7 linked regions of the Coturnix japonica genome follow. The protein of the gene in region 6 purifies or fractionates together with the protein of the main gene of each other region. This does not show direct contact. Links are inferred from orthologs where the notes say so. Each region holds a gene or a part of one and is shown on either strand. Other genes may lie near its edges. The genes, in order: PRPF8, SF3A1, SNRPA1, DDX5, SF3A3, DHX15 and SF3B1.

The links.
Region 1: the proteins of DHX15 (region 6) and PRPF8 fractionate together in Homo sapiens (co-fractionation; 3 studies listed by BioGRID, with this or other methods). This does not show direct contact. The link is inferred for Coturnix japonica from reciprocal best matches to the Homo sapiens genes DHX15 and PRPF8.
Region 2: the proteins of DHX15 (region 6) and SF3A1 purify together in Homo sapiens (co-immunoprecipitation; 5 studies listed by BioGRID and IntAct, with this or other methods). This does not show direct contact. The link is inferred for Coturnix japonica from reciprocal best matches to the Homo sapiens genes DHX15 and SF3A1.
Region 3: the proteins of DHX15 (region 6) and SNRPA1 fractionate together in Homo sapiens (co-fractionation; 3 studies listed by BioGRID and IntAct, with this or other methods). This does not show direct contact. The link is inferred for Coturnix japonica from reciprocal best matches to the Homo sapiens genes DHX15 and SNRPA1.
Region 4: the proteins of DHX15 (region 6) and DDX5 fractionate together in Homo sapiens (co-fractionation; 3 studies listed by BioGRID). This does not show direct contact. The link is inferred for Coturnix japonica from reciprocal best matches to the Homo sapiens genes DHX15 and DDX5.
Region 5: the proteins of DHX15 (region 6) and SF3A3 fractionate together in Homo sapiens (co-fractionation; 3 studies listed by BioGRID and IntAct, with this or other methods). This does not show direct contact. The link is inferred for Coturnix japonica from reciprocal best matches to the Homo sapiens genes DHX15 and SF3A3.
Region 7: the proteins of DHX15 (region 6) and SF3B1 purify together in Homo sapiens (co-immunoprecipitation; 6 studies listed by BioGRID and IntAct, with this or other methods). This does not show direct contact. The link is inferred for Coturnix japonica from reciprocal best matches to the Homo sapiens genes DHX15 and SF3B1.

The regions. Positions count from the first base shown.
Region 1 is NC_029534.1:4,145,652-4,149,779, forward strand, and holds part of PRPF8 (pre-mRNA-processing-splicing factor 8), read right to left. Parts: coding exon 4,126-4,128; intron 4,040-4,125; coding exon 3,792-4,039; intron 3,604-3,791; coding exon 3,424-3,603; intron 3,210-3,423; coding exon 3,074-3,209; intron 2,843-3,073; coding exon 2,673-2,842; intron 2,374-2,672; coding exon 2,244-2,373; intron 2,079-2,243; coding exon 1,932-2,078; intron 1,689-1,931; coding exon 1,528-1,688; intron 1,239-1,527; coding exon 1,047-1,238; intron 561-1,046; coding exon 323-560; intron 71-322; coding exon 1-70. UniProt on the Homo sapiens protein: Plays a role in pre-mRNA splicing as core component of precatalytic, catalytic and postcatalytic spliceosomal complexes, both of the predominant U2-type spliceosome and the minor U12-type spliceosome.
Region 2 is NC_029530.1:9,660,224-9,664,351, reverse strand, and holds part of SF3A1 (splicing factor 3A subunit 1), read right to left. Parts: intron 3,499-4,128; coding exon 3,294-3,498; intron 2,460-3,293; coding exon 2,202-2,459; intron 1,778-2,201; coding exon 1,703-1,777; intron 1,319-1,702; coding exon 1,168-1,318; intron 719-1,167; coding exon 525-718; intron 1-524. UniProt on the Homo sapiens protein: Component of the 17S U2 SnRNP complex of the spliceosome, a large ribonucleoprotein complex that removes introns from transcribed pre-mRNAs.
Region 3 is NC_029525.1:15,973,252-15,977,968, forward strand, and holds the start of SNRPA1 (U2 small nuclear ribonucleoprotein A'), read right to left. Parts: upstream 3,260-4,717; 5' UTR 3,161-3,259; coding exon 3,079-3,160; intron 2,856-3,078; coding exon 2,708-2,855; intron 1,989-2,707; coding exon 1,910-1,988; intron 1,763-1,909; coding exon 1,716-1,762; intron 1,618-1,715; coding exon 1,515-1,617; intron 1,007-1,514; coding exon 927-1,006; intron 21-926; coding exon 1-20. UniProt on the Homo sapiens protein: Involved in pre-mRNA splicing as component of the spliceosome. Associated with sn-RNP U2, where it contributes to the binding of stem loop IV of U2 snRNA.
Region 4 is NC_029533.1:7,256,193-7,259,334, reverse strand, and holds the end of DDX5 (probable ATP-dependent RNA helicase DDX5), read right to left. Parts: intron 2,679-3,142; coding exon 2,454-2,678; intron 1,857-2,453; coding exon 1,474-1,856; 3' UTR 646-1,473; downstream 1-645. UniProt on the Homo sapiens protein: Involved in the alternative regulation of pre-mRNA splicing; its RNA helicase activity is necessary for increasing tau exon 10 inclusion and occurs in a RBM4-dependent manner. Binds to the tau pre-mRNA in the stem-loop region downstream of exon 10.
Region 5 is NC_029538.1:3,123,645-3,128,230, reverse strand, and holds the start of SF3A3 (splicing factor 3A subunit 3), read right to left. Parts: upstream 2,986-4,586; 5' UTR 2,939-2,985; coding exon 2,843-2,938; intron 2,721-2,842; coding exon 2,673-2,720; intron 2,547-2,672; coding exon 2,494-2,546; intron 1,664-2,493; coding exon 1,558-1,663; intron 1,180-1,557; coding exon 1,107-1,179; intron 724-1,106; coding exon 632-723; intron 358-631; coding exon 275-357; intron 1-274. UniProt on the Homo sapiens protein: Component of the 17S U2 SnRNP complex of the spliceosome, a large ribonucleoprotein complex that removes introns from transcribed pre-mRNAs.
Region 6 is NC_029519.1:66,707,873-66,712,782, forward strand, and holds the start of DHX15 (pre-mRNA-splicing factor ATP-dependent RNA helicase DHX15), read left to right. Parts: upstream 1-1,971; 5' UTR 1,972-2,095; coding exon 2,096-2,160; intron 2,161-4,910.
Region 7 is NC_029522.1:30,938-35,065, reverse strand, and holds part of SF3B1 (splicing factor 3B subunit 1), read right to left. Parts: intron 3,660-4,128; coding exon 3,493-3,659; intron 2,263-3,492; coding exon 2,161-2,262; intron 1,553-2,160; coding exon 1,438-1,552; intron 1,229-1,437; exon of another isoform or gene 1-1,228. UniProt on the Homo sapiens protein: Component of the 17S U2 SnRNP complex of the spliceosome, a large ribonucleoprotein complex that removes introns from transcribed pre-mRNAs.

The sequences.
Region 1 (4,128 bases), on a different chromosome or scaffold from region 6:
GTCCAGTCCTAGGGTTGAAGATGAAAATGGCTCCATTGATAGGTTTTGTGGTCAAATTCCCTTCAAAAGTCTGAGGAAATAAGAAGTAGAAAGTACAGTGAGATGAAAGCAGCCTATCCAACCATTTACACAACAGCTGGCTTGTTAAATGCTCTGAAAAGGAACTATGCTGGAAATGCAAGGGCTGCTCTGTACACACTGCTAAAGGTTTGGGTGCATGTTAGTGTCCAGCTTACCCTCAGGCACATTCTCCTCAATCATCCTGAGCAAAGAACATTAACAGCCCCCATCCTTCCCCCTTAAGATGCAGCTCTGGCCTTACCTTGTGAATGGTCACTCTGTACACATTGGTGTCATCCACAAACCAGATGATCTGGTTGGAGAACAGCTCTCCATAGTTCTGAGAGGAAAGGTAGGGTTCTGTGGGCTCAGATGAGTACAGCTGCAAGCCCTTGCGGATTCGTTCTCTCAGCACATACAACGCAGGGTTTGCTTTCATAATTTTGGCCATAGCCTGCTGGATCAGAGGTTTGCTACCAGGGAACCAGTTCCCATATGCACTGAAGAGGAAAAGAGAAAGAAACAGCTGTTACCATCAGGTCTAAGATGAAGGGACAACAGAACAAGTCTTCACGTGCAGCAGACAGGCACCTTTCTGCCTGCTGTCTACCAGTGAATGATTTCTCTTGGAGCTGTTCAGCGGCTGCTTTTCCCTTCTCTTCCCCTCAGTGGGAAGCCACAGCACACACGTGCAGCACAGTCCCACAAGAACTGCATGGTTTGCAACTGTCGTACTAGAGAGGTCTGCTTGATGGGACACCTCTGCCTTGCTCTTTCATGAAGAGCAGTTGTTCCCTCTTACAGATGGCCTTTAAACAAGGCCTGCCCCTGAACTCCATCTGGCAGAGATCTCTTAAGAAAACAATCAGTGAGCTGAACCACTATTACAGCAACTCCAGCCTGGAACACAGCCCAGTTTGAAGATGCACTAAGACACATCCATCAACTATGAATTACAGCTAAAATACAGACGATGCAGTTCTTACCTGTGTAAATTATAGGCCAAATCAATGGCAATGAGCACACCAGTGGGAGATGGATAGATACTCATGTTGTCTGTAGTGTAGTCCAGGAACTTGGCTCTTGCATAGCGCTCAATATCATGGGAATCATAATCGCCCCAGCGCAGCTGGATATCTATCCAGTACTTCTGAGTGGTGGTGCTGTCCATCACATCTCTAAGAAGAAAGCAGCCCAGAGTAATTAAATCTTGCATAGAACTCTCCTGCAGTTGCTGTACATCTCTTTGGCAGAGAGTAAGTGCTACCAAGCCTGATCCCTGAAGCCAGGTACTATATGCATACCCTACTGAAAAGAAAACATCTACCCATACTAGCCCTGCACTTTCCAGGCATGATTATGTCCTCCTGGATACCCAGAGAAGTATGTCAGCCATGGGCTCCCAAGATATAAGGCTTTTTGCTCAGGGACAAGCTCAGCAGCTTGTCTCTGTAGGGAAACACTCACTTGGAATCAGCAAGCAATGATGGACGTGACACATTCCACTTGTAGGAAGCAAAGAGAAGGATATCTGCACATGAGGAATTCATCTTGTATGATTTCCTGGGATGGATTGTCTCCTTCTGCACTGTCTCAATCTCTAGAGCATCCAGCTCCTGATCAAACACCTGGGGAAAAGGCAGTAGAAGGTGAAGTATCTATAGTATCTATAGTATACTCTACAGTATCAGTAGAAGACTCTAACAGAGTCTATCCACAACACACACAAGCAGGTACCCAGGAAAATCCAGTTTCCTCCCCTTGTCTGTCGAATTACTAGAGGAGCTGCTTTGCTACTGTCAAGAGCAGGAGGCTGTTAGTATACAAGGAGCAAGTGTGCACTGAACAAACCTTGTTAACACACTGCTTACCTGACACAAATCCATTACAATGCTCTCGTGGATCTTTTGCCACAAGTGAGCTCGGAAAATCTGAATGAGAGAAATCTTCAGTGTGGGGATCTTGCCATGCATAAATATACCAGTCAAATCCAGCTGCACCTGGAAGCCAACATATACCTGCAAACGAAAAACAGACATGAGAACATGTAACAGCAAAACTGGTGAAGCTTAGAGAACAGAACTGCTGCTGTTCAGAAGGCTCAGATCTACAGTTCAGCTGAAGAACCAGATAACTGCTCTCAACTCAGCACAAGATCCTGAAAGCTAATTCCAGATACTTACATTGGCTCTGTTAATGGTAGGAGACCACCACAGAGTAAATCTTCTGTTTGGAATCTGATTCAAACCCGATCTCTGGGCATTTGTCAGCTTCTTCCACTTCATGGACTCCTCAAAGCCACTGGCCTTCTCCCTAGAAATGACGATCAACTGTGTTAGATGCTCCTAATCACAGCTGATCTTCATGGACCACATAGAATAGAAGCAAGGCACCAGAACAGAAGGAGCAAGAACTGCTTCATGTAAAGAACTTTCATGCAATCACATGCATAAATCTAGTTATACTGCAATGCCAGGTACCCTCAAACTGAACTATATGGTGTGCTCCTGGAAAACAGAACAGCTCAGCAGAGTAAGTGCAGCTCAAGCCAAGAACTCCTGGTGTATCACAAAGCTCCAATTTGCTCAAGGCCAGATCAAGGTTTCTCTTACCAGAAGAGACCCTCCCATGTAGGGAAGTAAGTGCCCTTGAAGAGAGTGTGCTCCAGGATCCCCTCCACTCCACCCAGAGCTTGGATCATATCAGTGCGGTAGTTGTTCAGGTTCCACAGCTTCCCATCGTGGCGCTGATGTGTCCACCAGAATGGGTTCTGTTTCAGGACCTGCAAACAACAACAACCTACCAGTGAGCAGCTCTGCATTCACATCATTTAACCATGCTGCACTAATTTCAGGAACCAAGATGATGTCAGCTAACAAGTAAAAAACCTCATACACCCATTCTGGAAGGTATGGCTCATCTACAAGTTCAGACAGTACCTAGTAGGTAATTCAGACTGGGCAGTATCTAAGATGATGCCTGAAATTCACACTGAGAAATCCCATGTCAATACCTGATACTGCTTGAAGTCAGTCCTGACTCTCCATCCTTTGTCATAAGCCAGGGTATGCCTGTCCTTCTGGAAAAGGGTGTTAATACGAGGAATTCCTCTGTCCCATGAGTCCTCCAGATCTTCCAGTGTCAGACGCCTGAAGAAAAGAAACATCCCCACACTCTGTTACCTCTCAATTTTATGGCAGTGCATTAATATTTCAGGCGATGAGATCACAGAAAGGATACAGATTTCAAGGCTGTAGCAGGAGAGGTTCTAAAATGACACTCAGAAGCTCAGAAAAGCATCCACAGCTATCACTATAGACAGGCTACAGACACACAGAGATCTAATTTAACATGGAAATATACCTGTTCTGGGCTATAGCCTCTTGTCGTTTGAGAGCATATTCTGCCCACACTCTTTGAGAATCAATGAATTCACTCTCCCATGGCTGGATGTAACGATACAAATTTGGGATGAGCTGGTCCTCTTCATGACTCATCCCTGAGCGGAAATGAGTAATGCCAACATCGGTCTGCTTGGACCACCTGGAGCAGAGAGGCAGAAGAGTGAGGTAGGAGCAACGGGACATCACCAGTCACATTGACGTGACGTAAAGACAACCTATCTCTGTAAGCAAGTTGTGGTTTAGCATTCCTAAATACTTCAATGGGAAAGAATATCTAACAGAGCCCCTAAATCATGTGGGCAGTTCAGATCAGGCAATATTACTCACCTCAGGTCAGACTGTGGGATGAGAACATGTCCCATAGAGAGCATACCCAGACCTCCCAGCTCTTTAGGGGTGTAGAATACCACGGGTGGGAAACGACTGGGCATTTTGGAATTCAGACCAATTTTGATTCGAGTCTGGATTTTATTCTCACATTTCACCAACAAGTCAAGCAGCTCCTGAGTATTTACAACAGCTTCCCGGAAATATGTCATCAGGCCAATCAGAGCTGTATTCCATTTATTGACAATCTAAAAAGGAAGGCACGGGATCAGTTCTCAGCTCGTTCTTCAAGCATCTGCAGGAAGCTCTGTCACACAGCTCACTTCTGCCTTACCTT
Region 2 (4,128 bases), on a different chromosome or scaffold from region 6:
ACTGAGCTATTTCGCCTCTTGACACCTCTACTACAGTGGTTCCTTTGGTAATCACAAACTCAAAAATTAAGCAGACCCAAAAAAGGAAGTAAGTAAGCCTCAGCTTCCACATTACCACAGCATGGCAAGCCAGGGCTTACAGTTAGTCTCAATGATCTTGTTTCTTGCTAACAGAAAAACTGATTATATGCAGTGGTTAAAAGGAAGAGTCTGAAATGAGACATCTTTTCAACATTCCAGACCCTAGTGTGTAAGAAAATTTAGAAGACTGGATGACAGAAATAACCTCACATCAATTCACCGGGTGACTGAATTCCCAGATTTCTCTTGTAAATTGTATTGCCACAGAGAATATTAAATACACCATATTCCAGTATTTCAGCAGAAACAGGTCATTTTTAAACTCAATCGGAAGGAAATCTCAATTCCCTCAATATACTGAGCAACGTATTATAATGAAGACGTAATAAACCCCACACAAATCTCACAGGGCAAGAATAATGCCAATTCTGTTGGCTACCTACCTCATCCATATCCTGCACTTGCGTGTCTTGATCCAGCTGGGTTGGAGGCTCATCTGTTTTCTCTTGTTTTTCATCTTCTTCATCTGACTCCACCTCCATCTCTACCTCTTCACTTTCCCCAAACTTCTCATAGCGCTCCTGGATGAGGATTCGAGCTCCCAGCTCTTCTGGAGTGGTGGGAGGTGGGAAATTCCCTACAGTGCAAAAAACACAGCTTTTGTTTCTTGGTCCCATTTGATTGCATAATGGGAAGACAGAAGCACCAATTTCTTGAGAAACAGTTTTTGGTTTCGTTTTGTTGTTGGTTTTTTTTTTTTTTAGCCATTTTAGAGGCATATAGTCACTCTGTTTTAAACTCTGTCCAGACTAACACTATAACAACAGCTGGAGATGAAGACATTTATAGGTGAAAGCACCACCAGAATATGGGACAAGTTTTGCTGTCCCGCTTCAAGATGGAAAAGCAGACACTGCCACAGAATACTACTTGATTCCAGAAGAAACTCAGCCCTATCCCATCATTAGGAAGCTATCCTTTCCATTTTGAAGGCTACACAGCTGTAAAATCCCATGTCTTCCTAAAACCAATGCTCTGCTCAGAGGAAGTACAGTTCCAAGAGGTTACAATGCCTGTCTTCAGTACCTTGCTCGTTGGGCTGAAAGTCCACTGTTTCCACAACCACAAAATCATGCCAATCAATCTGAGCATAAGCAACACGCTCCTTCTCCTTCTCTTCCTCTTCCTTCTTTCTCTCTCGCTCCTGGAACTTTGCCCACTCCACTCTGTAATACACCTGTACAAGCAGATTCAGAGCTAGCACCAAACGTCACACCAAAAATACACAATAATAAGCTCTACGGTGTCTAAAATTTATCCTAAAAACCCCTTCAAGGTATTCATACAAGCACCGCTTTGGAGGCCAGGGTAGGGCAAACAGATACTATAACACAGAAGCCATAGGTTTGCCCATTGAAAGGGTACTGTGCCAGCCTCATAAATTGGCTTTCTGAAGCTGGAACTGCGGAGCTCGAGTCAAGACCAAGCCAGATATGACACATTAGGCCCTGCTGAAGGTTCACAGCAAGGAATTCATAGACAACAAATTAGATGTATGCAGAGACAGAATTCAACACATAACTGAAATGCTTCAGCAATTTTGAGTTATTCATATAAATACCTGATCTAAGACTTCTTTGGGATTTTCAGCCTCCTTCTTGAGCTTGATGAGTAAGCCTTTCGGTGGGATCAAGATCTGAAACACATTTTAAAGGACAGCTGGTGACTACTTGTTGCCAAAATCTCCTTAACTGCAATTATTCTCTTTCCACACTGATAACAATAGTAAAGACCCCTGGGGCTGTATTCCATTTCTCCTGTCTTGCCACTCATTGCGCTTGCAGTTAAACTACTCACTCCTGTCCTTTCTATCTACAATCAGTACTTTAAAAAGATGCCACTTTTAAAATGTATTTATATTGCTTTAGTGTTTGATATTCTGAAGTAACAGAGCATTCAGTGCTGCATATTGCCAGCAAGTTGCAAGAGACCCACCCTTTTTAAAGGGCACCCTTAAGGATGGACTCCTAGGCCTGCATGTATTTCTAGCCCAGCTGTTTTTTAGGGCATCAAGAGTGCTGCTGAGGAAATCAACTTGACAGTTGCAACGCCACAAGTACCTTTGTGTACTGTTCAACCAGCTTTGTGAAGTAGTTAAAGAGACTGTGCTGCGGGCGAAGGAAGTCAAACTGGTAGTTCCTCTGTTCCTTCTGCATCAGCTGAGTCAGGAACTGCCTCCCATTCCGAGCCACGAACTGCGCTGTCAGCTTCACCACATCCAAATCAAAGGCAGAAATTGAGGGAGGATCTGCGATGAACTCAAACTCTGGAGGCGGCTCTTTTGGAACAACCGTCTCCTGGATCACCTGGGCCTGAACCTACAGAGCAGAACAGAGACTGCTCAGTGAATGCAAGCAAGAAATTGGTACTGAATAGTCAAGAGAGCTCATCTTCCCTTCAACTGTGGAAGGAAAACAACGTTAGTATAGATACTCTGACAATTGTAAGGATTGGAAGAAAAGCAGTAATGCTGAGTTTAGCCCTGTAGTTGGGCCTACTTTAAAACAAACACTGTTCCCAGAGCTAATGACACTGCAAGCTATCAGGACTTCACTACAATCCTCCAGTGATTATCAGTCCTTCAGTCAATATCACACAGCATAAGGTCAAGCAAAGCATGTAGAAGACTCAGACAGTACCCTTTTTCCACTTAGTATCTATGAAGAAAACTAAGCAAGATAAGCAATATTTTGTACATATTTTCACAAGGAGATGATCCTTCTGGCAGGAAAAAAGAAGAAAACAAAACAGAAGTGTATCTCTAAGACAGTGCATGCAACGTGCCCAAACTGAACCCCAAAGGATATTTAAGGATTGTGTATGGCAGTCCTAAATTCATACACTCCACATGAACACTAAGCCTTAAGTACCAAACAAGTCAATGAATAACTAAGTATAATTAAAATGCACCAAATAATACAATTTATTGATCTTCTACACAATGTTTTAGTTACCAGCAACCAGGGGATGCACACCTGTATCAGAAGAAAGTCCCAGATGCTAAATTTCATGCCTGTGAGTTGTCCTCTATTGCAACTATTTATCAATTAACTCCTTCCCTCACACTGTCTTTCTGCTTTCATCATTCTGCCTAGCATCACAATGTGAGAAACAATGAGTGAGAAGCAATCAAAGTGCAAAGGAACACTTACCTTCTGTGGAAGCTGCTGCTGAGCAGTTTGCTGCTGTTGCATGACCTTGGGAATAGCAGCTGAGGGCTCCTGTGCTTTGCCCTCCTTGAACTCACTGACTTTGTGTCGGTAGTATGCATGGTAGGGATCATTGGGGTTCAAGAAATTGAATTTAGGATTATTTATTTCATTCTGACGAATTCGAGCTTCAAATTCTGGACCATTTCTGCAGGGTGGAAAAATAAGTTTAGATAATGGGTATCAACTTAAGCATAAACATCCGTTTCTTTCACAGCAAGCTGTGTCCATGCATTCACCCCTCAGGATAAGTTCCTGTCCTGTGTGGAAGAAGTTTACCTCTCCCTGCCTCCATGTAACTCACACCCAACATAGCAGTCAGTCACACACACAGCAGTTATGTGTACATATCCTAATTTAGCCTTTAGCATTTCACAGCAAATATTTCTCAGGACAGTTAAAAACTTCCCATTCCACTTGGCTATATTCAAATCGAGCATCAGTGTATGGATTACATGATTTAATAGAAGATATTTATGAGTTTCTTAATAGACCACCAAGTTTTTAAGACTAGTTTCATTTCAAGAAAGTTCACCTAAGGAAAAGGTAGGTATTCCTGTCTGGATGCCCTGCAGAATTCACATAGCTAGCTGAGGTATTTACCTCCTGTGCTATTTGTATTCTGCCAGGAAGACCAAGATCCAGTCCCTAGATACCCCACATAGCATTAAGACAGACAGAAATACTTCAGCATTTTAAGATGGCCTGGCTAACACCAGCAGTTTATGTTTTCATGTTGGTAACAGGAGGAAAAAGCCCAAATGAATAAAGATGTATT
Region 3 (4,717 bases), on a different chromosome or scaffold from region 6:
GAGCAGCGCCTGGATTGAAGCTGCAGAGGGATAAAAGCAAAGAGGGATCGTTAATATCTGGGAGCAACGTGTGCTTCTCTCACTTCCAAAGCAGGTTTGGAAGCGTTTCAATCAATCAAGTGTAGTATCTTCTCTTTGTTAACAAACTGATACAGTGATGAATGGCCTCCTTCAGAAACACCAACCGCTTGGATTTGTCCTCACTGTCCCATCCCCTTCCCCCCCCCCAGATCTTTTCATCTGCTCATAATGAGGCAGACTGGCACCTTAGAATTAAGCGGCTGATGAAAGCTGTTGGATTTGGATGTTGTTGAACCATCACACAAAGCAGAGTGAATGGAATTGGATTTCAGTATCTCACAGGATACTGGGACAGCCTATGTAAAATGAATGGTGGAAGTTCCTTGTGAGTTACCTGCTGCTGCTTAAAGGACAGCAGACGTTTGTTGTCTATGGAAATGGAAGTCACAGCTTGAAAGAGCTGCCTAAATGTGACCCAGCTTCACAGACCTGCGCCCTGTCCTGCGTGTATTTGGGATGTGAACTGGGTGTTTGATTCATTGATTCACTTGTTCAAAAGCCATCACAGACATGGGCCATTTCCACTCATTAACCACAGCGAGAGCACATTTGATAACAGTTCTAAGCACTCACTGAGCACCCTCAATGTGATCAATAGATTTTTCAGTTCCCAGTCACTATAGAGAGCAAAACCAAGCAAACCACAGCCCCCTCTCTGCAGTAAAATAACACAGAGTTCCCTGTTTACTGCTATATCCCGATCCACCCTGACCAAACGGGTCTACCATAAAGATCTCAGATGTGTTCACCACCATCCAAACAACCAGGGCCGTCTCAGTTCGGTGCCGCACACAACGTGGTGTTTCTGAAGGAGAACGCCAGTGCAAGCGTTTGTTTTATCTTACGTTTTTGATCTCCTGGCAATATCCTTTGCAAGCTGTGCACCCCGTTTGCCCTTGAACATTTTCTCTGCCTCCTGTCGCTCCTACAGCGATACCACACATACAAAGTTAATGGAAGGATGTAGCATTTCGCAGAGCTGCTCTTTGCAAAGAAAGATGCTTTGGCTCATCTTCAGTGAACATCAGCATGAGGAGCCCAGGACAAGCACAAACACATTGCACAAACACTCCAACTCGAGGTGTAGCACTTCAGTGCTCTTAGAAGCAACAGCCCCAAGCAGAGGGCTCTGCTCTGATCCCTCATTCCTTTCTCTACGTTCCCCTTATCACCACCAACACCGGCCAGCCAGAAAAGAATCAGACTAAACAAACAACAGCAGTGAAACATCAATTAAAAACAATAAAGCAGATTACATCCTTAACGGCGTGAAACCATCAAAGAGAAGCACCAGCTTTAAAGCCTCATAGGACAAACTGTTCCACTGCCATTTACAGCTGGGGCAAAAAGCTTTACTGATTTCACTACAGTTCTATGAGTTAATAGGAGAAAAGGTCTCCATCTGGTGTTCAATCCGAAGGTAACAGACTTACTTTGAGTTTCACTTTCTGAAAATCCAGCACTCTGACTTGGGGAACTTTGTAGATAACATATAATCTGTAATGCTTCTTATTTGTTACTGGGTTCCTTAAAATGCTACGAGGCAAATAAAGGTCACAAAGAGTTACTTCATGTATTGAATATATTGAAATATATCACAACAAGCCGCTGCTTTTCTTTTCAAGATTACCCACCTCAGGTAAGTCAATGTTTTAATACTTGATAATGGATCCAGTTCACCCTATATAATGGAAGAACAGAGTAAGAATCTTAAATCCATTTCACGACAATCAAATATTTCAGAATGAAGCTCCTGAAGAAGACGACTAATTAGAAAGAGGACAAAAACATTAGAGCTGTCAAGATTTATTCTGCATCACTAACTTACCAGTTCAGAAATGTTGTTGTTGGTAAGAACCAGCTCTGTGAGACTGGGCAGAGCTTGTTCAAGTCCTTCCCCAATCCGACTACAGAAGAATAAAAACACAAAGATTTTACCTTTGGCTGGAAATTAACAATGGTGGACACAGACACAGATATATTAAAAATCACGGAATCATTAAGGCTGGAGAGATCTCAGAGATCATTCAGCCCATCCCCACCATGCCCAATAAACCTGTCTGTGGCCAACACAGCTGAAAGCATTTTGGGCCACCTCTGTCCCCTCTCCATGGCTCTGGAACACCTACAGAGACAGCAACTCCAACCACCTCCCTGGGCAGCCATGCCAACATAGAGCACCTCACTTAAACACAGCCAAGTATGACAGCAGCAGAAGTTTGGGTGAGCATCAGCTTTGTAACAAAGCCAACATAAAACAGCAGCTGCCACTGTAAGGGCACCAGGTGCAGCAAGGTAGCTCTGTTCACTCAGCTGCAGGCACCCCTGTCTGTGCATCACTATGGGGGTAGTGAACAACCCCCAAGGACCCAACACAAACTCCAGGCCCTGCATCTCATTGTCCTGTATGAAAATGGAACACAGAGCTGGGGCAGAACTTTGCAATGAACAAAGCCGGCTAATTGAAGGCTGAAGCAAATACCAAGCGCTATTTCTTCCCCATAAAGCAGATATTTTTACACCTATCAGGTATTAAAAGACACGGGCACGCTTCTTTTCCCTTCTTCACTCTGCTCTGCCCCAGGTCCCGTCTGATCACAACACTGATCACAACACAACCACGTACCAAATCCTGTTGTTATTCATCAGAAGAGTTTTCAACCTTCTCAACAGAGGGAACCCATCCAATTTCCGAATCTCATTATCCGAGAAATCAATCGCATCGAACTGATCCAACGTAGCCCCTAAATTCTCAATGACGGGGATTTTATACCCTGTGGGGGGGAAAAGAAACGTGAGAAGGGAATAAAGCAGGATGGGATGGAGCTCTGGGGACACATGAAAGAGGCATTTAACACACAGAACGACCCCCCCCATTGCACGGCCCGTTCCCAGTGCAGGCCCCACGCCTCCCCTCAGCGCAGGCCCCACACAGGCCCGCTCCCGATCCCCCCCCACAAAGCCAGGCCCGGCTCCCTCCCGGCAGATCCATCTCACCCCGCAGGTCGAGCTCTCGGTCTCGCACGGCGTTGGTGTATTGAGCCGCCTGCTCGATCAGCTCCGCCGTCAGCTTCACCATCCCGCCCGGACACACAGGCCGCACCGAGCCCACAACGCGCCGCACGGCCGAGCGAGGCCGAACACAGCCGAGTACAGCCGAGAACAGCCGAGTACAGCCGAGAACAGCCGAACACAGCCGAATACAGCCGAGTACAACCGAACACAGCCGAACATAGCCGAACACAGCCGAACACAGCCGAACACAGCCGAGCACAGCCGAACACAGCCGAACACAGCCGAGCATAGCCGAGAGGAAGAGGGCCGTCCTCTTGCAGCCCCTCCTCCACAAAATGGCGGCCGGGAGGGGCTGTATAGAGGTGGCTTTTCTGAGCTGTCGAGCTGGAAGGAAAGCGCATAGAAATCAGAATCATGGAATCACAGCGTGGTTGGGTTAGAAGGGACAGCGCTGGGTGTTGTAGAGGGGAGCATCCATCGCTTGTCTTGGCAACCCGTGCCAGTGCATCATTGTAAATAAGAGCCAATTTAAATAAATAAAAAATAAATAAATAAAAGTTGTCCTTGTGCCCAATTCTGGTGTGGTCGCAGTTGAAGCGCTGCAGCACTTCGGTCAGCAGAGGGAACTGCTTCCCTGTGCACAGCCCAACACAGCTGGAGGCGTCTCAGAGCCACCTGAATGCGGACCTTCCTCCTATAGCACAACACACTGTATTGCTCAGCTCTAGGGGTTGTAATGGGGTTGTAACAGAGCAGTTCTTGGTTTCAGATGCTGTACACGAGCTCTGGAAAGCTCCTTTGTACTGGAAAGTCCAAGTGGTGGTTTTTAAGATTGCTGTGGATGCAGCCTCACAGCCAAACTGCGAGCGGGGCTTCAGGCTGCACTAAGATCCAGCTGTTAGAGTTGAGTTGTTGGTGCCAAGAGACAATGAAGAAATGTGCTTTAATAAATTGTATTCGTTTATCTGGTAGAGGCACACTTTGATCCTCTGTGCATACCAGCGGCTGAGAGGCTTTAATAGCTCCAAGCAATAGCTTAGATAAATAATCTGAATGTTATTGCTTTCCAGGAATGATTTCTGAGGGAGTCGGAGCCCTGGGAAACACTGGGAGCTGATGTCGTTGTATGAACTCGACACGGAGGATTTGTTTCTCTTTCCCTGTGGGCTGGAAGGCAGCAGAAAGCACAGACTGCTGGGGATTGGTCATCTTCAATTGCACTACCTCAGCCAGGCTGTGCTTTCATAGTTTGTGCCAAGGATAAGGGTAAATTCAGCATTTCAGTGCATCTAAATATACCACGGCAGAGCTGAGTGCCAGAGCTGACACGGTGCTCCCGGCTGGGACTGGGACATGACAACAGCAATGGAAGTTTGTTATTTGATGAGCAAAGTGGCAGAAGCCAGAAGCATTTCGCCCCATTTCTGACCTCTGGTTTGGCCCGAGAACAACAGGGGGATCCCAGAGCAGCAGAAGGAATCAGTGTGTGATAAATCATCTGGCTCAGTCCCACTGATCCTCTGATACTTGTGAAAAGCTGTGAGATGCACGAGCCCACAGCAGCACAGCTCTGAGGAAACATCCTCTTTCAGACTCTGTGATCATTGTGGATCCCTTCCAA
Region 4 (3,142 bases), on a different chromosome or scaffold from region 6:
ACCAGGAATCTCAGACCTTCAAACCCTGCACTGTGTGTTATTCAGCTCAGGGCTGTCACACAGCACCTCTCAGCTGCGTGCAGCTCAACCAGGGGTTGGTGCTATTCCCTGTCAGAAAACCTGCTTGTTCTTCACAGCTCAGAGTGCTACAGTGACAGGAGCTTACAGAAGTATAAATGTTAAGAAAATAATGGATTACAGTGTAATTAATAGTAGCACAAGTTGACTTGGGGGGAAGATAGCACAGTAAGATGGGGAAAAGGCAAGTGAGGTTCAAGAGGCTTGAAATCACAGACTGAGATTCAGAATAACGTGGACAGAATCTTGCCCAATTCTTACATTAGCAAAGAGTGGTTAAGCATTTTTACCATTAAAAAATGATTATTGTTAAAAGTGGGAACTGAAGGTTAACATTCAGTTGAATTTTAAGATACTGTTGTTGAAAGCATTCAGTAACAAGCCCAGAATTGAGTGTTTCTGCTTGACCCCAGCAAGGAAATGCCTCAGAACCCTCCTGTGCTGAGCAGTGAGGCTTCAGCTGCACACAGGGATTGTACAAATGTCAGGAACAAAGAACCCCCCCATTCACTCAACAGCCCGCTTCCCTCCTCCCGCTGCCGCAAAGAAATCACCGCTCAATACCAGTTTAAGTATAATTTGAAGTTTTAATACTAAAGATCTTCCCATTTCTCTGAAGCTCATAGTAAGCCTGCATGCTAACTCACAAGGCCTGACAGCTGCAGACACATTACACTCAAGCCTAGTCTGCACATATGCAACAGTTACGGTGCTGCAAAAAAGCTTCCTACACTGGTGGCAGAAGCTCGTTAGCAACACCACTTGAGCAGAGCTTTGGTTAGCGAGATGCCCAGCTACACCATCACTCCAAGGAATCTTCTCCAAAATAAAGAAAACAAACTGGCCCTATGCTAATCAGACAAGGAAGAAGACCATTTCCAACTGCTATTCAGTAGCCAGCTTTGCTTTTCTTCCCCACCAAACAGAGCCTGCCATGCTAAGCGATCTAGAGCCCAATCAAGGCAAGGCTGGTTTGTTTTTAATATAAGCTTAAATGTTTAATCAGACACAGTTGAGAAACCTCTCTAGAATATAAAAACATTTGACATTCCATTAGTGTAAAGTTGTGCACATGTTGAGAAAATTGCCATCTGAAAGAAAATTCGGTCTTCAAATATCTTTATTGGAAGGCCATGCACTGCCTTCTGGTACTGTATTTCAAATCACTGTACATTTACTTTGAAAACACTGTCTGCATTTTCTAGTACAAAAAACTAAAAATTGTTTCAGGAATGTAGAGAAATATTCAACTTAAATAGCGAAAAAGTGCACCATAATTACTGCTGCACTGCAGTCATTTCTGCGCTTCCCATTTCTTAAATAACTATCCTGTTCTGAGATAACACACAATATAAAGAGCAATTATGAAAAACTGAGACATTTAAATACACTAAGTTATTGAGAATAACTCGCTGGCATTGGGTAACCTATCATAGGAGCAGCACCAGTGGCAGGATACGCATACTGCTGCTGGTTCATGCCATTGTGCATATTTGCAATGTTACTCCCGTACTGCTGATCATAGCCATTCTGGTAAGCTCCTGCAGGGTTACCGGCCCTGAAGCCAGCCTGCATGCCTGCAGCTGCAAAGCCATTTCCAAAAGGAGTTCCATTACTGAAACTCTGGGCGCTGTAGGCCCCATTCTGAGCTTTGGCTCCAAAGTCTCTCTTTCCTAGTGCACCATAAGTTCTCTCAAAGTTCTCCCTCTCTCTAAAGCTACTAAATCCACCCCTTTTGCCCGCAGAGTATCTGTCACGTCGGTCACCTCGGGAACGACCTAGTAAAGAGACAAGACAAGTAAGATATCTGATAGATATCAGATAGACAAGAGCAATCAAGGCTGCATTTAATTAGCATCTGGTGAGTTCAACTCATGAACATTCTTTTCCTTTGTCAGCAAGTCAAGTCTACTGAAAAGGCTTTCCAGTTTTTAACTGGACTCATTGGGCACAGAATTACATGAAGATTTACATTTACATGAAGCTAGAGCCCTTTCCCTAATGAAGGCAGGGTCATACACTCTCCCCTGTAATATGAGCAGTGGCATGAAGGAAAGCTGCTTTGGTCTCACCAATAGGAGTTACATGCAGTTATCTCCTAACTGTAAGAGGAAGCCAAACAGCTGAGCCTCCCTGCAAGATGTTTTAATGCAGAACACATGAGCCTGAAGCCCATCTTTGACATCAGCAGCCACAGCTCACAAGATGCTCTACAGCACAGCATTGTGAGGGCAGGTTTTGCTCACAAGCGTTTTAACACCTTTGGAGGTCACCATAACTGGCAAGTAAGCTGGATATGAATCCATTTTTGAGAGGCTAAAGATTGCCAGTTTGTTCTGAGAGAAAAGCTGTGCATCGTTAACAATAGCACTCACCTGAACCTCTGTCTTCAATCAACTGAAGCAACTTAGGGTTGATGGCTTGATTAGCCTCCCGAAGCACAGAGATGAGGTCATTTACTTGCTTAATATTGTTAGGAGTAAAGAATGTATATGCTGTGCCTGTTTTGGTACTGCGGGCAGTTCGTCCAATTCGGTGGATATAGTCCTCAGAGGAGTTAGGGTAGTCATAATTGATGACAAATTTCACATCTTCCACATCTGTAAAGTGTTGCAGTGTGGCAAAAAGCGAGGTACAAAGTTTTGCACACCACAACAGCCAAATCGAAGATAAACGTTAGACAATAGTACTTTCAATGAAATAATGGCTGCAAAGAACAGTGTTAGAATTATCCATTTCTGCACGAATATTGTGGAAGAGGAAGATATGCACACTCCGTCTGTTCCCGTCTTATCACCCACCCTGTGATCCAAAACCTTACCATAAAGGAGTATGCATTTGCTTGTCATTCCCAACTCAAGAGTCCCCTTTACAAATCATCAAGTGACATCTGAATGCTTCTTGCAGTAGGGCCACTAAAGCTCACAGCAGCCTCTTCATGTGCTCATTTGAGGACCTTAGAGTAAAAACATACAAGGTCCTTCACATACACACTCATTAGAAGCTCAAAAAAAATGGGCCACACTGCTCGTCTTGCCAAGACCTTTGAACTGCAGCTGCAAGA
Region 5 (4,586 bases), on a different chromosome or scaffold from region 6:
AAGTACTGATATAACAAAGTTACCGAGATTAGAACAGATTTCAATACAGCAAACTAAAGTACTGCCTCAAAATTAGAAGCCCAACGGCTTCCCACGTTTTGTTGTGCTTCACGTCCTCTCAGGGCTCAAGGGATTTATGACCGAGTTAATACAGCTCAGTGACCCAATCTCTGTCACCTCTGCTTGATTACTAACTCTGCTCCTGGACACTTGAGAAGCAAATTCCTTCTCATCAACTACTTTCATGAATGAAGCAGGCAGGAAAAAGACTCACCTCTTATATTCAGCGTTTTTTCTCTCTTTGGGGATGTCAAAGAGTTGGTCAAATGTAGACAGATAAGTGATGTAATCCAGTTTCTAAGAATGAAAGGAAGTTTGATTCAGACTTTAGATACACACAGCATATCAGCAACCAATTTCCAGTCACCAGACTAGAAGAAAAGCACAAAGCTCATGCCTTTATTCTGCATGGTCTGCACAGGGCTGGGGTTTACAGTGTGCTTTCTAACACAATGCAAAACAAGCACCATAAAACAGCTATTTGGAAATAAATGACATTTAAAACAGACCACTGAGCCCTCAGCACTGAAGTGCAATACAACAGAGTGCCCACACTACTGCAACCACTTACCTCTGATGATTTCAGATTAATGTATTTGAGATAGCAATCATGCAGATCTAAGTATCTTCCATACCCTTCTTCATCTGTGAACTCCACCAGGTCTGCAGGAAAGAGCACGCAGGGCTTTGTTACAAACTCAACATCCTCTGCTTGTTATATGCATGCTTTAGAAGCTGAACTGCAGACTAGTTTATCTTTCTTAAGCATGTTTATAATGCAAATGGATACTCATCGACTAGATGGCCACCAGCTTCCTAGTGTTATATCAGACCATCCCCCAAAAGAACCATCTCAACAGTGGAATATTTCAGGGTGGCTGCAGCCCAGAAGAATTTAAATGAAATTAAAACAGTTGTTATGGTTAATGTAGGGAAAGGGAGGTGGAAATCAAAGCAGAACAGACAGGTCACTAAATCACGGCAAGCAATGTGTTCTCAACTAAACAAACCTCAAACAAGAAACAAACAAAACCCTGAAGACTTACTTTGAGCTTCTTCACTTGGGTTGTCTCTGGCCTTCAACAGTTCCTCAAACTCCACTGACATTGGAACACAAATCTTCAGGAACAGAAGAAGTTATAGAAAAAGGGATTAGTTCAGCTAATGCCCAGGAGTAATTAATACAGACTGCAAACAGTAAAACAAGTAACTGAAGAGGTGTTTCAAGCACTTCTTCATGATTATATTTGCACTAAAGACAGCATTAGGCAGGCAAGAATGAATGCTAGCTCAGAAGCAGAATGCTCTTAAACTAATAGAGAGTGTGGAGGACATGGTGAGCATCCTGCATTTTCTCCTACTCAGACAGAGGCTCATATAAAGTCTCAAAGCATCACCTATTTCTAGACACTTTGTTTTCCTGAATGACATTTTAATACAGCAGAGATGAAGCCCAACACACCACAAACCAGTTATCCTTATGGAGCTGCTGCTTACCTCATTGGGATGCTTGCGGTGGAACTCTTTTATTTGTTTCAGTCTGTTATAGAATTCAGCAAATTCATTTGGCCCTGAAATGGCACTGAGCTCCTCCTTCCGTAAGCTACAGGTTCATAAAAAGAAGACAGGTTGCATATAGAAAACACGTTTATGTTGGTTTATATTGGTATAATGTTTGGAAGTCTAACACTGCATTCTGCTCCCACAAAACACCAGTGAGACTGAAATCACAGCCCCACCATATGGGGACAATAATGAAAAGATGGTAGTAAATAACCAAAAGGTTATTTACAAGTTAAGCTCACCCATATGGAAGCCTTAGATCTGCTGGGAACCACTGAAGTGATCACTACCAAGCAGCAATCACCAAGAGATGCTGCATTAGTGGTGGTCAGCCCTTCAATGAGGTCTAGAGGAGGTGAAGTCAAGCTCCACCCCTTTATGGGGAACAGCTAAATTACTCTCACCTGTGCTCCCACAGCTGACCCAACACTTGGCTCAGCTGATTAATCAGAGGTTCAGGCTGTGATTACCAATCTCCCATACACCCACTGATGTTCCACATGCAGCCAGGATTGTGCTTTGAGGATCAGGGTCACATCTCTATTGCAAACGCTGCAGTCTCAGTTAGAGACCGTCTCCCTCAATGATTCAATACCAGAGGGTCTGGTACAGCTGGTGGGGTTGGGTGAGAGGAGGTAGGAGTGTGGTGGGGGATCAGCTCCACCCCCATATGGGGATAGGAAGGGGGACAGGGCTGTAGTACTGCTCTGTGCTTTCTGCTTGAGAAGTGTTTGTGTTGCATGTTTCATGTGAAATCTGGGTCCTCCTCTTTAGGGCAGACCCCCAGCTTTGCATTGTAGCATCATGTCTGTGGTGTATAAAGCAGATCCAAGGCAGCCCCATGTCCATTCCAGCCCGCTATACACTCACCCATCCTTATCGTCATACAGGTCCCTCAGGTTGCTGCTCACTTCCATGTACCTCTAAAACACAACACAAACCTCACGTTGACACAAAGAACCTCAACCAAACCGGGGCCAATCTGGGCCCTGCACCTCCACAGCTACCCGAACCACCCCCAGCCCCACTCACACCCCGACCCCACTCACATCCTGCATAGCCCGAGTCCTGTGGTCGGAGTTGATCTGATCGCGGAGCTGCATAGAAATAAACGGCGTTAATAATGAAGGCCTGAGCCCGGCCTACCCCCCCCACACCCCCCCCCCCTCTCCCCGGGCACACACCCCCTGTGTCCCCCCACTCCCATCCCCGGGCTCACCGTGGATTTCTTAGTGAGCATCTCCTTCACCATGACGTCCATCAGCCGCTCTCGTTCCTCATGGTAGCGCCGCTGCTGCTCAAGGATCGTCTCCATCTTCTCCCCTTCCAGCCCGGAACCAGAAGCTCGCTGTGTAACACCGGAAGGGTCCGGCCCCTTCCCTGAGCCGCTTGATCCGGATTGAATGTGGTTCCGCGTTGATTTTAGCCCATGTGAAGGTGTAGAGCAGTGAGATCCACTGGCCGCCACAAGCCAGTTATCCCAGTTATCCCAGAAAAGTGGGAACTTTTCTGACACCTCTCGCTTCAAACCCATAAAGTCGTAAGGATTGAGAGCACTGCAGGTGCCCCCAGGCTGGGGTGAAAGCCTCCAGCTTCAATGTGGCTGTGGGCAGCGTTATACAGCCATGAATCACAGCCCAAGCAGAATAAAACATGTCCAGTCCGGTGCTGCCTCCTTCCTGCCTGCCTTGGGGTTACAGATGTTGCTCCTGGGATGAACAGACGTTGTGCTTAATGGGCTTTGGACATCACGGCTGAAGGATGTCAGGACTTAGGGGAAATGGTTTTAAGTTAAAAGAGGGAAGATTTAGGTTGGATGTTAGGGGGAAGTTCTTCACTAGGAAAGTGGTTAGGTCCTGGAACAGGCTGCCCAGGGAGGTTGTGGATGCCCCGTCCTTGGAGGTGTTCAAGGCCAGGTTGGACGGGGCCATGGGCAACCTGATCTATGGGGTCTCTATGGGGTCTCTATGGGGATCTATGGGGTCTATGGGGTCTCTATGGGGATCTATGGGGTCTCTATGGGGATCTATGGGGTCTCTATGGTCTCTATGGGGATCTATGGGGTCTCCTGGGCAACCTGAACTAGTAAATGTGTATGTTTGGTGGCCCTGCTAGGCAGGGGGGTTGGAACTACATGATCCTTGAGTATATTGAGGAATAAAGCTGTCTCTGTGAGTTCTGCGGCCTCCCCACCTTTTTGGACCTTAGCTGAGGGTCTGGAAGAAGGGATAACAGCAGGAGGAGCATTCAGGATGCCTGAAGGGCTCAGCCACATCCCTAACCTCACGTAACAGAGGCAAAGGAGAAAGTTCACCTTCAGCTCTGGTTCCCCACTACCCCAGGCAGTATGGACAGTAGTGGACCCGGGCTTGTTAGCACACACAGGTCCAAGTCCAAGCCTTCAGCTGCACCTGGTCTCCAGACCCATCCCTGCAGGGCTGCAGGAGCTGCTGGGGCAGGTTTATGTTGGGTTTAAGAGCTCAGAAGAGGCTGTGCTGGAGCCATGACCTGACGCTGCATGTAGATGCCTGCAGCTGGGAAATGGGTGACCTCCAGCAGGGAGCTGAAAAGAATGTTTGGAAAGAGAGAGCCCTCAACCACAGGGCAGCGAGGGATGCCCACAGTGAGCCCCAAAAGCATGTGGCAGGAGCCACCGTGTCCCTCTGTAGGGTGGCTTTTCAAGCTCAGTGTGTGGTTAATGCTGGGCTCACAGTGAAGGCTCTGCTCGCCTGGCTGCGTGCTGAGGAGTATTTCCGTGCCTGCTTCAGACCATGCTCTGAGAACCCAGGGGAGGTTTGTGCATGACATCACCCTCCCCCTCCCGTAAATCAGGCCCGGGGCCGCTCGCAGCCATGACCCATTCATGACAGGGATAAAATCCAGATGTTCCAGCTCTACGTGCAGCTGGGTCATTTCCTTTTTTGGCTAAAAACGTGAGGCTCTTGAGGCTGAGCAAAAGAGGA
Region 6 (4,910 bases):
CCAGGGAGATCCAGCCCCCTTATTGTTTTATTTTTTGTCTCCCTTCTCTAATCAGCTCAACGTCTCCCCTATTTCCAGTATTCTTAAGCTTTTGCTTAATACAGTTGTCATTTAAAGAGCTTTGTGTAGCTACCCTCTGGGAATGTAGTGCTTTGTACGCTGCCTTGGAGAAAATAAGCTTGATATTTGGCATGTAGAGAGAAACCCGTAACATTTAACCCCTGGCAAACTGTGACACAGATTTTTCCAGAGTTTTTTTGTAATATAACTTGGAAAATTACTTCCAGTTTTGCATGAAAAGCTCAAAGTCCAGAATTTCTGGAATGTTTATTTCAGTTATCACTTCAAGCAGAAAAAAATGGTATTCTTTATTGTAGTAGTGCCTAGAACTTGAGCTGAGGGTGTCGTTTTGTTGTATCGTTTAAAATAAAAAATGCTCTTCTACTAAATATACACTGATGGTTTGTCTTTGTGGAATGTTATAGCAGTTACACTGATGTAACTCTGGAAGAACATGAGGGTGTGGGTAAACACCTACTTCCTGAGCTGGCTGTGCCCGTGGAACAGGTCACTTGCTGCTAAGTGATTTTTTCTGACCATTTTCAGATTTGCTAGCTGAGCCAGTTGTGAGAATACTCTCTTGCCCTCAGAGTTACACAAGTTAACAACAAATTCTTATTCAAAACATCTGATCTAACCTAATTCCTTTGACCAAAGTGCTGGGGAGTGACCACTCCTCCAAGTAGCTAGGTGAAGGTTTTGGTAATCTCTGGCAGAAAGGCAGTGAGAACAGGCAGGGAGGATGACTTGGAAAACAATGTATTTTTTGTCAGGTGCACCTAGATGAAGAGATAGGAATGAAATGTACTGCCATAATATTAACCTGTCTTATCTGAGACATTAATTTAAACCACTACTGCAGCACTGAGAGAACATGAAATATACTGGGAAAGCAGGGAGGAACAGAGAAGAGAATGTCCAACAGTAGATAAGTATCAAGAAACATCCTTCTTGCCTTTCGAGAAGCTCTCAGAGATTGACTTTTATGAGCTATGCTGTATTATCAAGTGACTGTTTTGGAAAGCAAGGCAGCTGCTAAGACTTAATGATGGATGAGAGGAGAAACAGCTGAAGGATCTAGTTGTGAGAGCACGGGGGTCTGCCTAGAAATAATAGTGCTCATATCAGTGGTGAAATGATTAACATTACAAACGATTCACTTAGGACATCTCATTTAGGGACATCTTAATTGCCTGATTTTGTCTTCTCCTGCTCAGCCTCATCTCTGCTTACAGTCAGGGAACAAACACAGCTTGCATGGATGGTTAACCCAGTTCCTAGAAGGCGCTGGGGGAGGATGGAGATGAGGAACACAGTTCAGGACACAGAGACAACCCAAAAGGCAGGTTTGCTGGATCCAGTTTGAGCCATAGATTGCTGCTGGTACTGGCTGGAAATGTGAAATGCATCAGTACACAAGAAAGACCTGATAACTGTATTGAGAAAATGGCATTTTTAGCTCATGTGTCTCATTGCACTTCAGCAGTTGTTATGAAATACTAGTTTGTGTTCAAATCTAACGAACTTTGATGTAATAGTGGCAGCCGTGCCTGCTGGCGTTAGGAACACGGGCTTCCCTTGCACTAGCAATCCCAAATACATGAGTGTCATGTATTTGAATGAACGTCACCGATTTTCTCACTTCTGCTTCAGATGACTTGTGAAAGGTCGCGTTTTTCTACACACATGGGCGTCAGCAACGGCCCACAAAAACGACGTGCCAACATCATTCTGCTTTTAACTTCCACCGTGGAAATACTCCTGTGCTGGGGAGCAGAACGGACTGTGGAAAGCACCTTTGCCATCCGCTCCCGCCCGCCCCCACAGCGCTGTGGGCCGCAGCCGTTGTGAGGCGCGGGGCGGGGCGGCGCTCACTCCCATGCGCGGCAGCGGCTCGCTCAGCCCCGTCGCTTCCTTCCGGCCGCCATTTTAGTGGCTGCTCCTGGCCTCGCGGCGCCGCTGCCGTCGCTGCTGCTCTTGAAGCGCAAAGCGCGTTCCCTTGAACCCGGCCCCGCTGCACCCAGCGGCCCCCGCCATGTCCAAGCGCCACCGCTTAGATCTGGGCGACGATTACAGCTCCAGCAAGAAGCGCTCTGACGGGTACGAGGCAGCGCGGCCCGCGGCGGGCGGGAGGATGGGGGGGATCAGCGCCGCTCCCGTGATCGGCTGCTCGTTCTGGGCCCAGGCCGCTCCCCGCGGGATGGAGCCTCCGCCGTGCGGGGCGGCACGAAGGGATGGATGGATGGATGGGAGCGGCGAGGCCCGGGCGCGCTGCAGCGTGGGACTGGGCCCAGCTCGGCCTGGAGAGTGGGGGAGGCGGATGGCGGCGGGGAGGAGAAGGAGGGGCCGGGTTGTGCTGGGGGCGGTGGGGCGGCGCGGCTTTGTGTGCGGCCTGCCCGTACCTTCAACTCCGCATCTCCTTTTTGATGCGCTTGTGTCGTTTTCGTTTAGTGGCAAACGTGATCCAGGGGGTCAGCGTGAGGTACTGCGTCCTTAAGCGGGTGGGAGCGTTATTCCTTTGTTAGCTGCCTGCGCTGGGTACCCGGCTGGGGTTGTGCCTCATGTGAGGAGGCAGCGCCAGGTGGGGTTGGGGTGGGATGTCACGGTGGGAGTAGGTTTCTTTGTTTTGCGTTAGTTACTTTTAGGGCTCGATGCACCAGCTTTAGCAGCCTTCCATCAAGGTTAGTGGCGTGGGGGGTACACAAACAATGTGCCGTTGTTGTTTTAGTGCGGTCTCTTCATATTTTGTGTTCCCTGACGTTGGTTTGGGAGCAAAGGGCCTCAGAAGGCTCAGGAAGGCAGGGCTGTGTTTATCTGGCCTGCCCTTCTTGGGAAGCACAGAACCCATCCTGAATCCCATCCTGAATCAGCTCCTCCCTGAAGCCCAGCAGTGCTGTTTAGGTAAAAGTGTTGATCTGAGAAGAATCAGCACAGAATATTGCACCTCAAACCTCCATAGGTGCCGGGTTTGTGTCCCTTTGTCCTTCCCTCATCTGCCATTAAAACTTTACCAAGTCTGCCGTTAAAAGCTTTAAGTGGCACAGGACTAAGAGTCACTGTGGACTTGTTGAGTTTATTTCTTTGTCATAGTCCTTGAGATCTTAGTTCATCCAGCACAAGGCACACACTATTCATCCTAAGTTGTCCTGGCTTATGTAAGGGTCGGTAGGTTTTCCAGCCTACAGAAGGCTGCGATGCACAAGTTGTTACCAACATGTATATTCTTGTCCTATTCTGCACACTGTGGCTTTCTGCAGTGTAGTTGGTTTTGGAACTGGATTAAACTATATTAGCTCCTTGAATAGATACCACATCATGTATAGAATAGCATTGTACCTTGCCTTCAACGTGGGTCACCTGTCTACAATGTAAAATTATGTTGAGTTGTTGCTATGTTCTTTCTGAGGCCTGTATCAGTGTGTGTAACCCCACATGGCAGTCATGCTGTTGGTTTGCAGCTGTTCTTGCAGCCTTAGTGGCTTGACACCACTCGTTATCTTCCTGTCTTGAAGAATCCTCTGTGAAGACAAAACCTTTTGGGGAAGGTGTGGTTTAGAAGTTTTCTGTTACAGTGCTACTGTGCAAGTTGTATGTGTGCAATTTAAAACCCGATGGTTTTTTTTTCTAAGCACGCTTATCTTTGTTTGGTGTTGTGTAACATCACAGTTGCTGTGTTTGTGTGATGCATCGTTTTCACTGATTTTCTTAGGTAAAGAGCAGAAATGCCAATCTAACTGCTGCTGCTGCATCGACTGCCAACAACTATTGTTGCGTCTGCTTAGTAGTGGCAAAAATGCATGTATCAGTGATGTTAGTTTTGCTTAGACTTCTGTTGTGATGAATGGAACTGGAACAGGCTGCCCAGGGGGGTCGTGGAGTCTCCTTCTCTGCAGATATTCAAGTCCCACTTGGACGCCCACTTGTATGACCTGGTGTAGGGGAACCTGCTTTGGTGGGGGGTTGGACTCGATCTCTAGAGATCCTTCCAACCCCTACAATTCTGTGATTCTGTGAATGTTGGTTTAACCTTATTTCTTTTCCATTTGCAGTTTTCTGTGCTTTTATGTCCTCTAAGTCAGTGATTTATTTTTTTCACCTTTTTTTTTTTTTTTCCATCTATTTGTATGGGTGGGCATAAGGAGTTCAGGTAGCAAACCAGGCAACCTCACATGAGAACAGAAATCCAACTAATAAATATAAATGCCCAACAAAACCCACCGTTGCCACCAACCTCTTCCCATTTATGAAGATTGTTGTGGACTTTATGCACGAGACAAATGTTATTAAGTTTTGATTCTTTTTGTTGTTTGTTTTAGGGTTTATGGTCAGGCTGTTAAGTGCAGAGATGAGGAGCGACTTAAATGTGACATTCCATTAATGAAGAACTGCCAAGTTGTGTTTCCAGAGATTTTAGTGTTATCATTTGGCAGTGTAACCATCACTCTACCTGTCCCTTGTTTTGATGCAAGGTACCTGGTGTGCCTCATAGATTTCAGTGGTAGTGGAAGGCTGACAGACATGTTCTTAGGAAAGTAATGCTGTTGTAGAAAGATTAATATTGATGATTAGATTTAAGGTCTGTTTTTTCTGTGCTGACGTCTGATTCCCCTCTTTTATACTGTTCTTAACCATTTTTGGAACTGAAAATCAACTCTCTTGGTTGACCTTTAAGTCAGCTTTTTGACTTCTGAAATGTAGGTAGAACTTGATCGGTTCCTTTTCTGTTATGACTGAAGAGTTAATGAGATAACAGTCACTGGGGAGTAACAGTTCCAGTTTGGTTCCCACTTGCTGTCCATTTAATTTACGTTAGCTAGAAGTTTGCTTATTACTTTAGCACTTCTAGTTCA
Region 7 (4,128 bases), on a different chromosome or scaffold from region 6:
TTATCTCTTTACCATTAGTAACACTTTGGAAAGATATTTATATTCAAAACATTACCTTGTGCAAGCTGCTACATCCTAGTAGTTATCTGACTATAAACAACTACTGCATACCTAAGTAATGTTTAAAATGCTTTATCGTAAGGACCCATTTATAAGTTTGACAAATCTGGACACACCTCCCAGATCTTCCAGTGTCACATTGTAAAAGGGCTTCATTTAAAAAAGCAAGAAATCCCAGAAAACTGATAGCACCTTCCCCCTCCTTTCAAAGAACAACTGCGACTGGGATCTGAACGTAATACATTTACCACCACAACAATACTCACACGGAATGGGGTTTGTGTACCATTTGTTGTTTTATGCTCTGTATCTTGAGTTAAAGTTTAACTTTTACGTACTTTACAAGAAGCCCGACTTTATATAAATTAAGACTTGTCAAGAAAAACACTATTAATTAAAAGGAATGTGCAGATTGCTATACGAGTGGTATAGCAATATAGTTTAGGAAGAAAATAAAACTCTTAAACATTTCTATGCTGAAGATCATTGCCCAATTGGCTGTGTCACTCTGACACTAGCTTTGATAGGACTTTCCTTTGGAATACTTTTTCACCATAATCTACACAGGATGTGTTGAACTGCACCCTTAAGAATGCAGACAGGACTGGCATATAGCAGTACTGCTGTAGGAAAGAAATTAAGGACAGTTAGTATGGGCCTGTGAATTCTGACAATACATGTTTATATCAATTACAATTAAGCAAGTAAAATAAGTAATATCCCTAATAATTCATGCAGGCTGCAATTCTAATTTGTAAAACCTGCAAAACAGCTGCTGATTTCAAGCCAACAGGCACCTCACTGCCACAAGTGAAACTCACTCGCCTCAAGAAATCTTCCATCAGACCCACTACACCCCTTTTCCTGACTTGCATTCTAAAATTATCTGAACAGACTTGAACTATTAATAGTATCAAAGTCTTACATTCGCTTTTGTTCCTTTTAGCTATACCACCTAAGTTTACATAAGATGGTAAGAATTAGGTGCTCTATTTTGAGAACTAGCATTTCAAAAGCAATAGCCCTGTAAAACTATGACTTGGAACGAAAGCTTTCAAGGTATTGAAAGACTGAGCACTCAATACACAAGTTGTTCAAGTATAATGCACAACCCAAAACAAAAAGAAAAGAGAAACCTTTAACCCTTTGTGTTTCTATGGCAATGGCTCATTATTTTCTTGTCCTTCTACCTGGAAAGAAAACTTGTATTATAAAGATGAAGAATATGGCATCTAGGTTTTCAACCCAACCTCTACAAAAAGGGGATGTTTAAAACAAAACTAAGTTTATAAGCATGCCAACAGAAATCAAAGGGCTAAAGACAGTTTAAGACAACAGATCTCAAAAAGGGTATAAAAAAAGTCAAAAATAAATTACCATCTGCAAAAGGATCGAGACGCTCAGGGGAAATTATCATCATCCGCCTGTGCTTTTTGTACTCATCTTCCCGATCTGCAATCTTTTGAGGACGGTGTTCTGCAAAAGGATCATACTAAAAACAGAAAAAAAAAGCTGGTTATCACATAGGAACAACATGAAAAACGCTGCTGACCGTTACACTACCTAAATATAAATCTTACTTCTGAAACTAGAATGGTTATTGAAACGCAGAATTTTTTGATCAAATAACTTCCTGTTACTGTTCTAAGAAGCTTTTTCATTTGCTTCTAAGGCATTTCATCCCAGCAGTCTTTCTTCTTTGGAAGAATAAAACTTCTTTCAGGAAGACTTATTACAACCTCATACACCTTTAAGCTTCAAAGAAAACCATTTTAGGAGAATAAAACATTCACAATTACATTGTTGTTACAAAAAGCTTAAGAGACATTCAGCTGCTCCAGATATTTGTATTTTTTTAAGTATACAATTGATGTTTTTAAGTAGTCCAGCATATATGCACATGTTGCCTCTACATGCACAAGTGCCAATTTCTACCACGTGCTGGAATTGTAACATAAAGCACAGACAAGCTCGGTGCTTCAAATACTGTAATGCCTTACGGACATGCTGTGCTTTCAGAAATGAAGATGTGGTCTTGAAATACTAATACTTCTCCTAAGACCCAAATAGCCTTTTGTTGTGCCTTGAGTTCAGACATACCTGTTCAGTTGACTGCGGAATGTCATTAAGCAGTGCCACTGGAGCATGGTACCCCGGCTTCTTCTGGCCAAGCAAACTTGTAGATGGGTAATCATCATCATCCTGCCAGAAGAAAGACGTGGCAAAGTCACACCAATACTGGCTTTAGGTAACAATGTCACATCAACACACTGCAGTCATAGGTAAGATGAAAAGGGACGGGAATATTCAACTCCATTTTCAGCAACTGATTTCACATCTATTGTTGTATTACTCCCAGCAATCAACTGCTGAACCAGATACAGCTCAACAAACAGCTACATTGATACCTTATTCCTTAACAGACTCGGTGAATGTACTGCATTTACTCCAAGATGCCATCTTCAATAACTAGTATTTCATATTAGTGCTACCAATGCAATGAGCTAATTGTTATTGAAAAAGCTGTGCACACTGCTCTTTTTTTCTTAAAATCCAGACAAATACAAAGAAAATGTCAGTAAGTAACCCTGAAAAACACTTCTGCAATAACAAAAGACTGAGAAATCAATTAGAGCTCTGTTAATTTGGTTGTACCTTCTCAACCACAGCACCAAAAGCAAGTCTTCAGAATGTGTGAGATACTCTGTGTATTCTGTGCAGTTATCAATGAGACTCCGTGCACCAGTTTACAGCAACACGGAAGGAAAATTGCTCGTAAAATTATTAACTGAGTTCAGGGAAACGCTGTAAGGGAAGTTTTTAATTAATGCATTCCTGAAGTCTTCAAATACTGCACCACTACAAAAAGATACCAACTAATACTGAACCACACATAACATTCTTGCTTCTCCTTAAAAATATTCTCTGCTCACTTTAATACACAGTTACTCATTGTGTGTTTATGATCAGAACTGCTTTCTGATTGCTTTTGAAACCAAAAATGTGTTTAACATTAGAATGTAACAGAACTTATCAACATAACCTTAACCACCCTTATATATGAGACAGTGCAAAAGTCAATCCACAGAAATAGCACCGAAAGTTCAAATGAAGTAGAAATGAAAATATTAAAATAGCCACTTAAAATGTCAGGCCTGTGTTTTATTAGTTTTTTCCATCTCATTTTTCACCTTGGCAGCAGCAACAAAACCAATTCAGACGCTCTAAAGCTAACGGAGCACCAGCCGCCCCGATCTCAGTGTCCTCCTGGAGCTCTGTGCCTCTCAGAGCACACGTCATCAAGTCCAAGCAGACACAGACCTGATGAATGCCCAGAGTGAGGCATGTTTGTTCAGTTAACTGCAACTATAAATCGCTTCAAACAAAACACCACAATGCTTAGACACTCCTTAAAGAAATGAAATCACTTACGTCTTCCAATTCAGTTGCTGCGATGGAAGTTACGTATCCAGCAAACCTGCTGTCACTGCCACCATAGATTTCTTGGTCATAATATCCGGTGGAGTCGAGGCCCACTCCTTGTGCTTCATCGAGGGCAGGCTTTTTGCCTTGAATTTCTCGGATCTGCGCTTCGATATCTAGGGTAAAAACAGCCAAAAACTCAGGTCTTTGTCAACATACAGAAAATGCAACACTTCTATCATCACATTCAGCAAACCACCCAGTTTCTAAGTCCATCTCTAATTAACTGAATATAATTATCACATTAAACTATAAAACCACGATGTATACGAAGCAGCTTTTCTTTATGCTGTAATATTATCCAGGACAGACTAATGCAGCTGTATTGTGGTCTGAAGCAAACCATTCAAAACTATTACCATTAACCCATCCGATCTTCCAAAGCGATGGTGGGGAAGGTAATTACAGCACAACAGTATTTTTCAACACTAGATGGTACAGGGCTTTGTCAATTAATGTAATCTTTTCATTAAAAGCAGCTACTGAGATGTTACCATCGATAAATCAGCACAATCAGTTTATTAAAAGAAACCTGTTTAAAGGAGGAAGCGTGTGAGTAGACACATGGGAACGTGCAACAGAAGA